Macaca mulatta: one gene and its partner. The protein of the gene in region 1 interacts with the protein of each later gene in a biochemical or structural test. Links are inferred from orthologs where the notes say so. Each region holds a gene or a part of one and is shown on either strand. Other genes may lie near its edges.

Region 1 (4,637 bases):
CAATTTGTATTTTACAATCTAGCAGTCATCATGCTATTGTTTTAATTTTTTTCCCATAGCCTCCCTCTACAACCAAATAAGCTTTTGAGAGCAAGGACTACAATTTCTTATGTTTCTGTTTTCAACAGGGGTTCCTTAGAATGCTAGCATCCTAACAAATGCTTAAAGACTCCCCTTTCTTTTAAATGTTTTTAAAGTCAAAGCTGTCAAAAACACATAATTAACACTAAACTCCAACTTTTTAAATTCTAAATTGACCTATACGGTAATCAGAAAATAAACATTTTCATCTATATATTTTACAAGAGTTACTCCATCCTTAGTATCTGCATTATCAAAAATTCAAAAGTCATTTCAAAGAAAATCCTGGAAAGAAAATGAAAAGTCCCAAAATGTAGCATTATAATCTAGCATTATAGATCTCTGAAATAAAGCTAATAAATCAATTAGCTGAAATTGATTGACTGGTTTTCAAACTATATTACCAAGATGTAAAACATACAAACACTCCAGTACCAACAGAGGCTCTTAAGTAGTTATTATAAGATTTGTATCATCATAGCTGAAAATTACCCCGGAATTTTAAAATATTTTTCAAATGACTCCATGAAGCGCTTAGAAAGCACGACCCTTCCCTGAAAGATGCATAATCAGCTGTCCTCTTTTCCTACCCCGGCATTCTCTACTTGCAAACCACCGGGGGAAAAAAAAATTAACTTTGAAAAATAATCTCCCATTCAGCTATTACCTAGACTACCCTGTTTCAGGCTAGTTCCCAAAGCCAACACGAAATGAAATCTTGAGTTCAACTAAAAGTGATCATTTTATGTTGCCTAAGAATATAATCAATTTCACATAACATACATGTTTTTTGTGTGTGTCAGTTCTTAAAATCTCAGTTCTTTAGTTCTCTCCGTTCTTCTAAGCAACACAGTAATTTCTTTGCCCTCATGATGACCCTCTTTCCCACAATAAGGAAACAACATAGATATTTTTGTTAAATTCTGAAAGTATGTTTAAACAAGCTGTCATTAAACACCACATGAACTTCTCCATAAATAGAGATACACTGGAACATTAGATACTTAGTATATACTAAACACTTCAAAAGCATACTTCTCAGCACAAACCCAGGACAAGAGTAGTCTATCTACAACCCTGAACACAGTCCAAATATCCCTATTATTTCCAGGACCACAGCCATCTGCAAAAGCCAAAATGGAAAGGACTAAAGCCACATTCTTCTAACTAAATCCACAGTTATCTAAATGTGATGGAAACTAACGCAAGAGTATTTTAAATCGTCCTTTTTAAGGAACCCTCCAGAACATTTAACAGGAGCGCAACAGTACTCCAAAATTGAACTTAAATGTAATGAGCCAGTGACAACATTTAACTTACTATTTGGCACTATGACAAAACAAATCTCAATCAAAACCTGGACCTATTAATACTTCTATGTTACCTTTTGATTAAATATAAATTATACGGTGGCAGGTTGGTAATGTCAAAACAGGAAGGTTAAGAGAGAACACATCAAACCACTAATCCAATCGAACACAAATGCATACAGAGATGCTACTGCTGCTGGGTATTTATTGGCTCCCACTAGTCCCTTCTAAAGAGAGAAATCAATGACAGCCTCCAAATGTGAATGGTTACTGAGCAAGTTCATCCACAGATTAAGAACAAATACTATGTGTAGTCATACAGACAAGAAAAAAATGTTGGGAGGGTGGGACGTTTAATGTCTCTATTAAGTATACCAAACTATGATAAATCCTGAGACCTAAAATACCCTCTTATTCCAAAAGACATACATTCTGCAAATGTGCACAATGGTTTATTAATCAAATCTTGTCCTTCTCTTTATTCTAAAGGATGGGCAAGTAAACACGGTCATCACTAACGTGGAAACACTCAAGCACTTGATGAAACTCACTACCAACAGCAAGAAAAGTATAAGAAAGCAGTTTCAAATCGAATCATCCAAATAAAAATCATATTATCTCAATTCAAGGTTAATGAGACCGGGGGAGGGGGTATGGGAGGAGTAAAGAGGGAGCTGCTTCATCCTTGACTGAAGATAGGTTTTGCCCTTTTCCATTGCTTGTTTGTTATATTAGGAAGTCTAATATTTTCAGATCCTGGTATTCCGAGATTTCTTATTTTAAGGGCGAAGTGGAAAAGGGGCGTAAAATAAAATCAATACTCACTGCTAACTTTCATGCTGCCAAAAGCTGAAGGCTGCTGCACCGGCTTGCAGCTCTCCGCAAAGGAGGTGGTTCTGGGCCGCCCTGACATGATCACTCTCTTCGCGAATCACCTTTTCCTTCCTTCCTCCTTTTCTTCCTTTTGTCTTTATGTTGGGGTGTTAGGTTAATGATAAATGCAGCATTAAGTTCTCCCACAGAAGAAAAAGAAAAAGACTTCGTCCTCTTGGTTTTTCACTCCTTTTGTATACTATAAAAAACAAAACAAGCGATGTATTTCTCCTTCAAGACAGATCGGCACGGATATTTAACATATAGATGATTTACGGCTGGGGAAAAAATACAATTCCTTCCCCTCCCTTTCCTGGGAGGAGAGAAAAGAAGGGGCAAATCCTAAAAAAATATGTATCACGTGAAACAGGGGCAAATACTTGATTGAAAATGAGTACTTCGAATATTATATTTTCCTCGGGGATTTTTTTTCCGAGTCAATGAAGAAGGGAAGCGGCGGAAGGATCACGAGTCTCACGCTTGAAGAGAAAGGGGGATGGGTAGGAGGGAGGGAGAGGGAGGGAGGGGGTGGCTCGGAGATGCGACGGGAAACGCTGCAGCTCCGGCAGCCGTGGGATCCGGCGGGCTGACGGCGGGGGCCCGGCGAACTGGAGGGCGGCGGAGTCGCGAGTCAGTCAGAGGCGGGCGGTGGCGGCGGCTCCTCTCCTCATTGCGCCAGGAGCAGCTGCAGGCGGCGGCTGGATCCAGCGGCCATGGCGGCGGCGGTGGCGGAGGCAGCTCCCTTCAGACCCCAGGCAGCGGCTCCTCGACTGCTCCCCATACGCCGGGGACATGGGAACCCGGCAACCGCTTCCGTCCCTCGGGGCCCCCTCCCCCGTCCGCGGCAACAGCTCGGCCGCCCTCCCGCCCCTCGCCTCTGTTCGGTGCCCGCTCAGGAAGTGTCCGCGCTTTGCCCCCAGCCCAGAACCCTGTCAGCGGCTGCGGGGCCGGCTCCTCCTCGCTTCCTTCCTTCCTTCCTTTGTCACTCGGCCCGGGCGGCGGCGGCAGCGGCGGCACAAGCCCGCATTCGCCCGGGTCAGGGGCTGCTCTGTGTGAGGAGCGCTGTCTGCGCAGCCGCCTTGCACTTCCCCACTCCCCCTCCCCCTTCCTACTCTTCCTCCACCTCCTTCCTCCCCCACCCAGCCTTACACCGCCCAGCGCACCGCCGCCCGCGTAACAGGCGTCTGGGAATCGCCGCCCGAGCCCCACTCTCGCCCGCTTCGGCTGGGAGCCGAAGCCCGAACGGAGCCAATCACGGACGTCGTTTGTTTGCGGCTCCTCCCGGAAAAAGCCGATCGGCCTGAGAAACCAATTAGAAAGTGACGCTGGAAAGCCACGCCCAAAGAGCGGAAAATGCCGAAGGCAGCCGAACGGAAAGGGTGATTTCGCCTTGTTCGGTGGCTGGCTGGAGGAGACATTCGACAATGGCAACAGTGGCCAATCAGAGTCGCCGGCCCTCACGAAAAAGCTTGAAGAGTTGAAGACGGTGAAACCCAGAGACGCTGGTGAAACTGCACGGTTGGGCGCCGCCGCCGCTTTGTAATTGGCTGGAAAACTCCGCTGGGAGCGTACCTCCCTCGGTGATTGGTGAAGGGAAGGGGGCTTCCGAGGACAGTTTGGCCAGTCAGGACTTCCCCTCCCTCTCCAAGGTGGGGAGAAGAAAGCGAAGGGAGGGCGTCTATAAAGCGCCGTCTCATTGGCCGGAAGCTTAGGCGCTGGAGTTGGGGCAAAAGGGAGAGGGTGGAGCTCGAAACTCGCGGCGGTGGCCAATCGGCTCTCACTGCCGTCCAATCGCAAGACTTAGCTGCAGTGTGATTGGCCTTCGGCCTCCGTCCCAGGACCTGGGAGATGCCCGACTAGGGTCGTGGCTGACGACCCGACGGCTCGCCTGCGGCCTCCAACTACGGTGGAAACCGCACATAGGGACCGCCTGCCCTAGGCGCAGCAAATCGGAAAGTGCTGCGGTCGGCGGCGCTGGGTTCTAAGAGCTCAAGCGAGCAGAGGGGTCGAGGGGTTCTCCCCATCCACAGGAGGCTCTCGGCGGGGCGCAGCCAATTCTGCGCGCCTAAGGCTCCCCTCTGCCCTGGATCGCGTGTGCCGGGTGTCGGCCTCTTCCCCGAAAGGGCCTGACGGACAAAGGGGGCCTTCCCAGCCGGCAGCAAGCTCTCAGACGCTAAAATGGGAACAAAGCTTCTTTGGGCGGCCGCGCCCCGCCCAGCCTCGGGGGCCATTGATAGAGAGGCCCGCTGCGCTTGGTGTGCGCGGCCCGGCCGGGCCTCTGGAAACGCCCATGAGAAATGAGCTCATGCTGGATGCGCGCGCTCCTTGGGCGCAACTGCCCAGCGCAAAACGGGCCCCGAAAGCAGGTGAGGG
Region 2 (4,839 bases), on another chromosome or scaffold:
GTAGTGGGGCCACTCCCTCTTGAGGGCCCCTTTCTTTCATGGTCTCCTCCCAGGCCTGTCCCCCAGAACTCCTCTGACCTCTGCCCCCCCATCCTTGCCAGGTCCTCCTCTGCTCACTTCATGCCACTTCTCACCTCTTCCAAGCTCTTTGGGTTTTCCAAGTACCCCCTTCAGAACCCTTGCCCAGCCAAAGCCTCTGCCTCCCCCGGCCTGTGGGGCCCAATCTCACCTCCTCATAGGGGCTACGATTGGTACCACCAGCGGGCACATAGCGCCCATGGGTGTGGTAGGTGGGGTACTCGCTCATAGGATGGTAGGCATCCCGGGCGGGAAAGATGTCCAGCTGCCTGTAGTTCTTTTGGCGGCACTGACAGACAGCCTGGGGAAATAGGAGGTTATGGCAGACCATGGAGTGCTTTCTGTCGGCGGGGGGGTGGGCACTGATCAGGGCCAGGGACTGCACTCACCAAGGCAATGAAATAGACGATGGCCAGCACAACCAGAACACAGACCAGCACCAGGAGCGCAATGCCCCAGCCTGGCACCCCAGCCCCGGTTTGGGCAGAGAAAGGAAATGGCACATCACGCACTAAAAGGAAAAGCAGTGGTTAGGGCAGTCTCCCAGAGGAGGTGCCCCTCTAACTGCCAGCACTAAGGAAAAAGTGGGGAACTAGACACTGGTAGGAGAGGGGCCCCAGCATGGTGCTGGGCTGCAGCCGGGGAAGTAGCCTCACCGCTGATGTCTGAGATCGTCAGGTTATATCGAGAGGCTGCTTCCGTTTTACGTTGATTGAACTGTGTCTCCACATCGTGGACATTGGTGGTACCTTCTCGGAAGACCAGAGTCGATTGTACCACCACAGATCCTGGCCTGGTCACAGGGAAATGGGCACTTCAGCCACAGGTCCCAGCTCTGGCTCAGGACTCTCCCCCAACCTTGAGAGCACCAGTCCCTCCTTACGGTCATGACCAACACCCACCCTCCAACCACCACACTGAGTCCACACCCAGAACTATACCTGAACATAATATTGGAGAGGCCCAGAAAATCCCCTTGTTTATAAATCTGCAAAAACTGGGGTGAGAGGGAAAGGACTCAGGCTTGATGCAAAGGGTGTGGACAGTTCTGATGGCTGCTTCAGGGGAACATGGGAAAGGAAAGGCTGATACTCACCAATTCAGAAATGTCTCTCTGCAGCTGTTGGTAGTAGTTGGTGCTGGGATCTTCCAGAGAGGAATTAAACTGAAGGTTTGAAATGTGAAAAGACAAGAAAAAGAAAGAGACCCCAAGAGACAACTGGGGAGAAGTGCTGTGATTGGAGGAGGTGAAAGGAGGTACTGTGCTATGGTGAGTGCTACTGGCATCAGTCTTGGTGCTGTGGCTGGCAAGGGTGGTAGGAGTATCAGAGTGGTGGCTGGGAATTGAGAATGGAGTGCTCTTGCTGGCTGGGGTGGTGGTAGCCCTGGCAGAGGTGGTGCTGTGCACCAGAGTGGAAGCTGAGCCTGATGCAGAGTCTGAGGCCGAGGTGACATCGTGGGCTGGGGGTGCGGTGGAGCCCGGGGGTGCGGTGGAGCCCGGGGCTGCACTAGTGCCCGGGGCCGAGGTGACAACGCGGGCTGGGGGGCCGGTGGAGCCCGGGGCTGCACTGGTGTCCGGGGCCGAGGTGACAACGCGGGCTGGGGGGCCGGTGGAGCCCGGGGCTGCACTGGTGTCCGGGGCCGAGGTGACAACGCGGGCTGGGGGGCCGGTGGAGCCCGGGGCTGCACTGGTGTCCGGGGCCGAGGTGACAACGCGGGCTGGGGGGCCGGTGGAGCCCGGGGCTGCACTGGTGTCCGGGGCCGAGGTGACAACGCGGGCTGGGGGGCCGGTGGAGCCCGGGGCTGCACTGGTGTCCGGGGCCGAGGTGACAACGCGGGCTGGGGGGCCGGTGGAGCCCGGGGCTGCACTGGTGTCCGGGGCCGAGGTGACAACGCGGGCTGGGGGGCCGGTGGAGCCCGGGGCTGCACTGGTGTCCGGGGCCGAGGTGACAACGCGGGCTGGGGGGCCGGTGGAGCCCGGGGCTGCACTGGTGTCCGGGGCCGAGGTGACTACGCGGGCTGGGGGGCCGGTGGAGCCCGGGGCTGCACTGGTGTCCGGGGCCGAGGTGACTACGCGGGCTGGGGGGCCGGTGGAGCCCGGGGCTGCACTGGTGTCCGGGGCCGAGGTGACTACGCGGGCTGGGGGGCCGGTGGAGCCCGGGGCTGCACTGGTGTCCGGGGCCGAGGTGACTACGCGGGCTGGGGGGCCGGTGGAGCCCGGGGCTGCACTGGTGTCCGGGGCCGAGGTGACTACGCGGGCTGGGGGGCCGGTGGAGCCCGGGGCTGCACTGGTGTCCGGGGCCGAGGTGACATTGTGTCCCAAGGTGGTAGCCAAACCTGTGGCTGGTTCCGTGGCCAGGGCTAGGGTGACGTCCTGTCCCTGAGTGGTGGAGGAGCCTGAAACGGGGCTGTGGCTGGAGAGTCTGCTGGTCATACTCACAGCATTCTTAGTAGAGATGGGCATTGAACTTCTTTGGGTAGCCGAAGTCTCCTTTTCTCCGCCTGGGGTAGAGTTTGTATGACCAGAACCTGTAACAACTGTTGTGGGTTCAGGGGCTGTGGCAGCTGTGATAAGTTAAACTAATAGGGTTGGGTTGAAGGAAAAATAAGAGCAAGAAGAAAATACAAGCTCTGGCCACCAGAGAAATAATACCAGGAGGACTGGGGAGTGGGCAGCCTCAGCAGCCCCTGGGTTGGCTGCCTCCTTCCCTGCAGCAGCCTCCTTCTGTCTGCCCACAGGCCTCAGCTCCTGGCCCCTGCATTTCTCCCCTCTTAAGCCTTCCCTCTCCCTACTCCCTTCCCCCTAGACTTCTCTTCAGGACATTTGCTTGCCCCTGGCACCCACTCTTTGGGGGGGGCATCTCTTCTCAGCCTGTCCTTAGCCTCTCCCTCCTTCTGGCACAGACAGAATTCTTGCCTTTCATGGTGCATCTGCCAGGGAGCAAAACCTGGCACAGAAAGACCACGAAGACCACCTAAGCAGGGCAGCCCACTCCCCACCTTGTGCCCCTCACCTGTAAGCACTGTGAGGATCAGGAGCAGGAAGAAAGGAGACTGGGTGCCTGGTGTCATGGTGGTGGTGGACTGGGTGGGGAGAGGGCAGAACAGACTCAGGCAGGCGCTGCTTGAGAGGTGGAGCGGGCACAGGCGCCTGCTGCTTTATACCAGTCCCCCTGGCCCCCCTCCCCCCTGCCCGCCCGCCCTAGGCACAGCTGGAGCAGGTGACAGGTGACAAAACCCCGCCCCCTCCCCCTTCCCTACCTTCTACCTGTTCCTCCTCCTCCCCTACCATTCCTGGGTAGGCTACAAGGGCTCTAATCGCTCAACCCCCTGACTACCCATTTGTTCTCCAGCTGGCCTCCCCCTTTCACCAACCACTCCCTGGCTCCAGGGTGGAGTGGGGAGGGGCAGTCTGGAACCTGGGGCCCCTGGGCTCTAGTTTTAGCCCTAGGGCAACAACTAAGGTGGGAATGGGGAACAAAGACGGCTAGGTTGAGGTTCTGTACAGCAAGGCCAGGAAGCCCACCCCTAGGTCTCCCACTCCACTTCCCTGCCCTCCTTGGGTCCATTGAAGCAGAGCGGGGCCAAGAAATAAGAGGGCTGGATAATGAGTGGACTAGGTGCTAGTTTTGGGCTCCCTCCCCCCACCACTTCCCGGAATAGCCCCACCCTTCTAACCGCTCCCTGTCCCGTTCCAAACGCAGTTCTACCCTGAAACCCACAGTCCCCGCCCCAGCCGGACTTTCCAGCAGCCTGGGTTCCCTCCTTGGCATTCTCCTGAGAAGGGAGTGCGGGAAGAAATTTCCACTTAAGGGAGGAAACCTGGGCTCCGATGAACCCTAGGGTCCTTTCTTGCCACTGTCCACCACTGGCCAGGAGCTCCTCCCGCCCTCTAGTGGTCACCAGGAGCCTTGCGGGGCTGGACCGCGCCGGCTGAGGAGCTTTTCTGACCTGGCGGAGAGGAGTAAGGGCAGCGCTGCCTAAGTGGGGCAGCGAGAGCCCGCGAGAGGGAGGTAGGGCCCGGGAGAGAAGGGTCACTACCGTGGCCAGGGAGGGAGGAACGCACAGCATGGTGGACTTCTGGGAGCTTTAGGAGGGGGCACTCCTGGACGCGTGGTGGTGGCGTCTGGAGGAAATGGAGCTAAGCGGGTGGGGTCCTGAGGTATGTGGAAAGGGCACTGAGATATGTGGGAGAGGACATTGGAACGTGGGCAGGGGAGTTGGACACGTTCTGTGTGGGCCGTTATGTACTTAAGAGGCAGATCGGGCCGGGCGCGGTGGCTCACGCCCGTAATCCCAGCACTTTGAAAGGGCGAGGCGGGTGGATCACGAGGTCAGGAGTTCTAAGACCAGCCTGGCCAAGTTTTTAGTAGAAACCCCGTCTCTACTAAAAAATACAAAAATTAGCTGAGCGTGGTGGCGGGCGCTGTAATCCCAGCTACTCAGGAGGCTGAGGCAGGAGAATCGCCTGAACTCAGGAGGCAGAGGTTGCTCTGAGCCGAGATCGCACCACTGCACTCCAGCCTGGGCGACAGAGCAAGACTCCGTCTCAAAAAGGGGGGGGGCGCAGAGAGTAGTTGGGGTGACAGAATGGGATTTAGGGACAGAACTATCCTTTGGGGAGCAGAGTGGTATTGGGGACAGGTAGGTACGTAGTGGAAGGCAAAAGCACACGTAAGGTGCGTAATGCGCAAGAGCCGAGAGGTGTGTGCGGCAGCAGTGCACCAGGGGAGGAAGCTATCCCGGGCCGCGGCAGCACGT

What was found. The genes of interacting proteins can lie anywhere in the genome.
Region 2: the proteins of GSK3B (region 1) and MUC1 form a complex in vitro, tested with the Homo sapiens proteins (2 studies listed by BioGRID). The link is inferred for Macaca mulatta from reciprocal best matches to the Homo sapiens genes GSK3B and MUC1.

The regions. Positions count from the first base shown.
Region 1 is NC_133407.1:163,632,768-163,637,404, reverse strand, and holds the start of GSK3B (glycogen synthase kinase-3 beta), read right to left. Parts: upstream 3,319-4,637; 5' UTR 2,305-3,318; coding exon 2,217-2,304; intron 1-2,216. UniProt on the Homo sapiens protein: Constitutively active protein kinase that acts as a negative regulator in the hormonal control of glucose homeostasis, Wnt signaling and regulation of transcription factors and microtubules, by phosphorylating and inactivating glycogen synthase (GYS1 or GYS2), EIF2B, CTNNB1/beta-catenin, APC, AXIN1, DPYSL2/CRMP2, JUN, NFATC1/NFATC, MAPT/TAU and MACF1.
Region 2 is NC_133406.1:111,806,428-111,811,266, reverse strand, and holds the start of MUC1 (mucin-1), read right to left. Parts: upstream 3,208-4,839; 5' UTR 3,151-3,207; coding exon 3,093-3,150; intron 2,644-3,092; coding exon 1,175-2,643; intron 1,076-1,174; coding exon 1,020-1,075; intron 872-1,019; coding exon 735-871; intron 590-734; coding exon 468-589; intron 380-467; coding exon 230-379; intron 1-229. UniProt on the Homo sapiens protein: The alpha subunit has cell adhesive properties. Can act both as an adhesion and an anti-adhesion protein. May provide a protective layer on epithelial cells against bacterial and enzyme attack.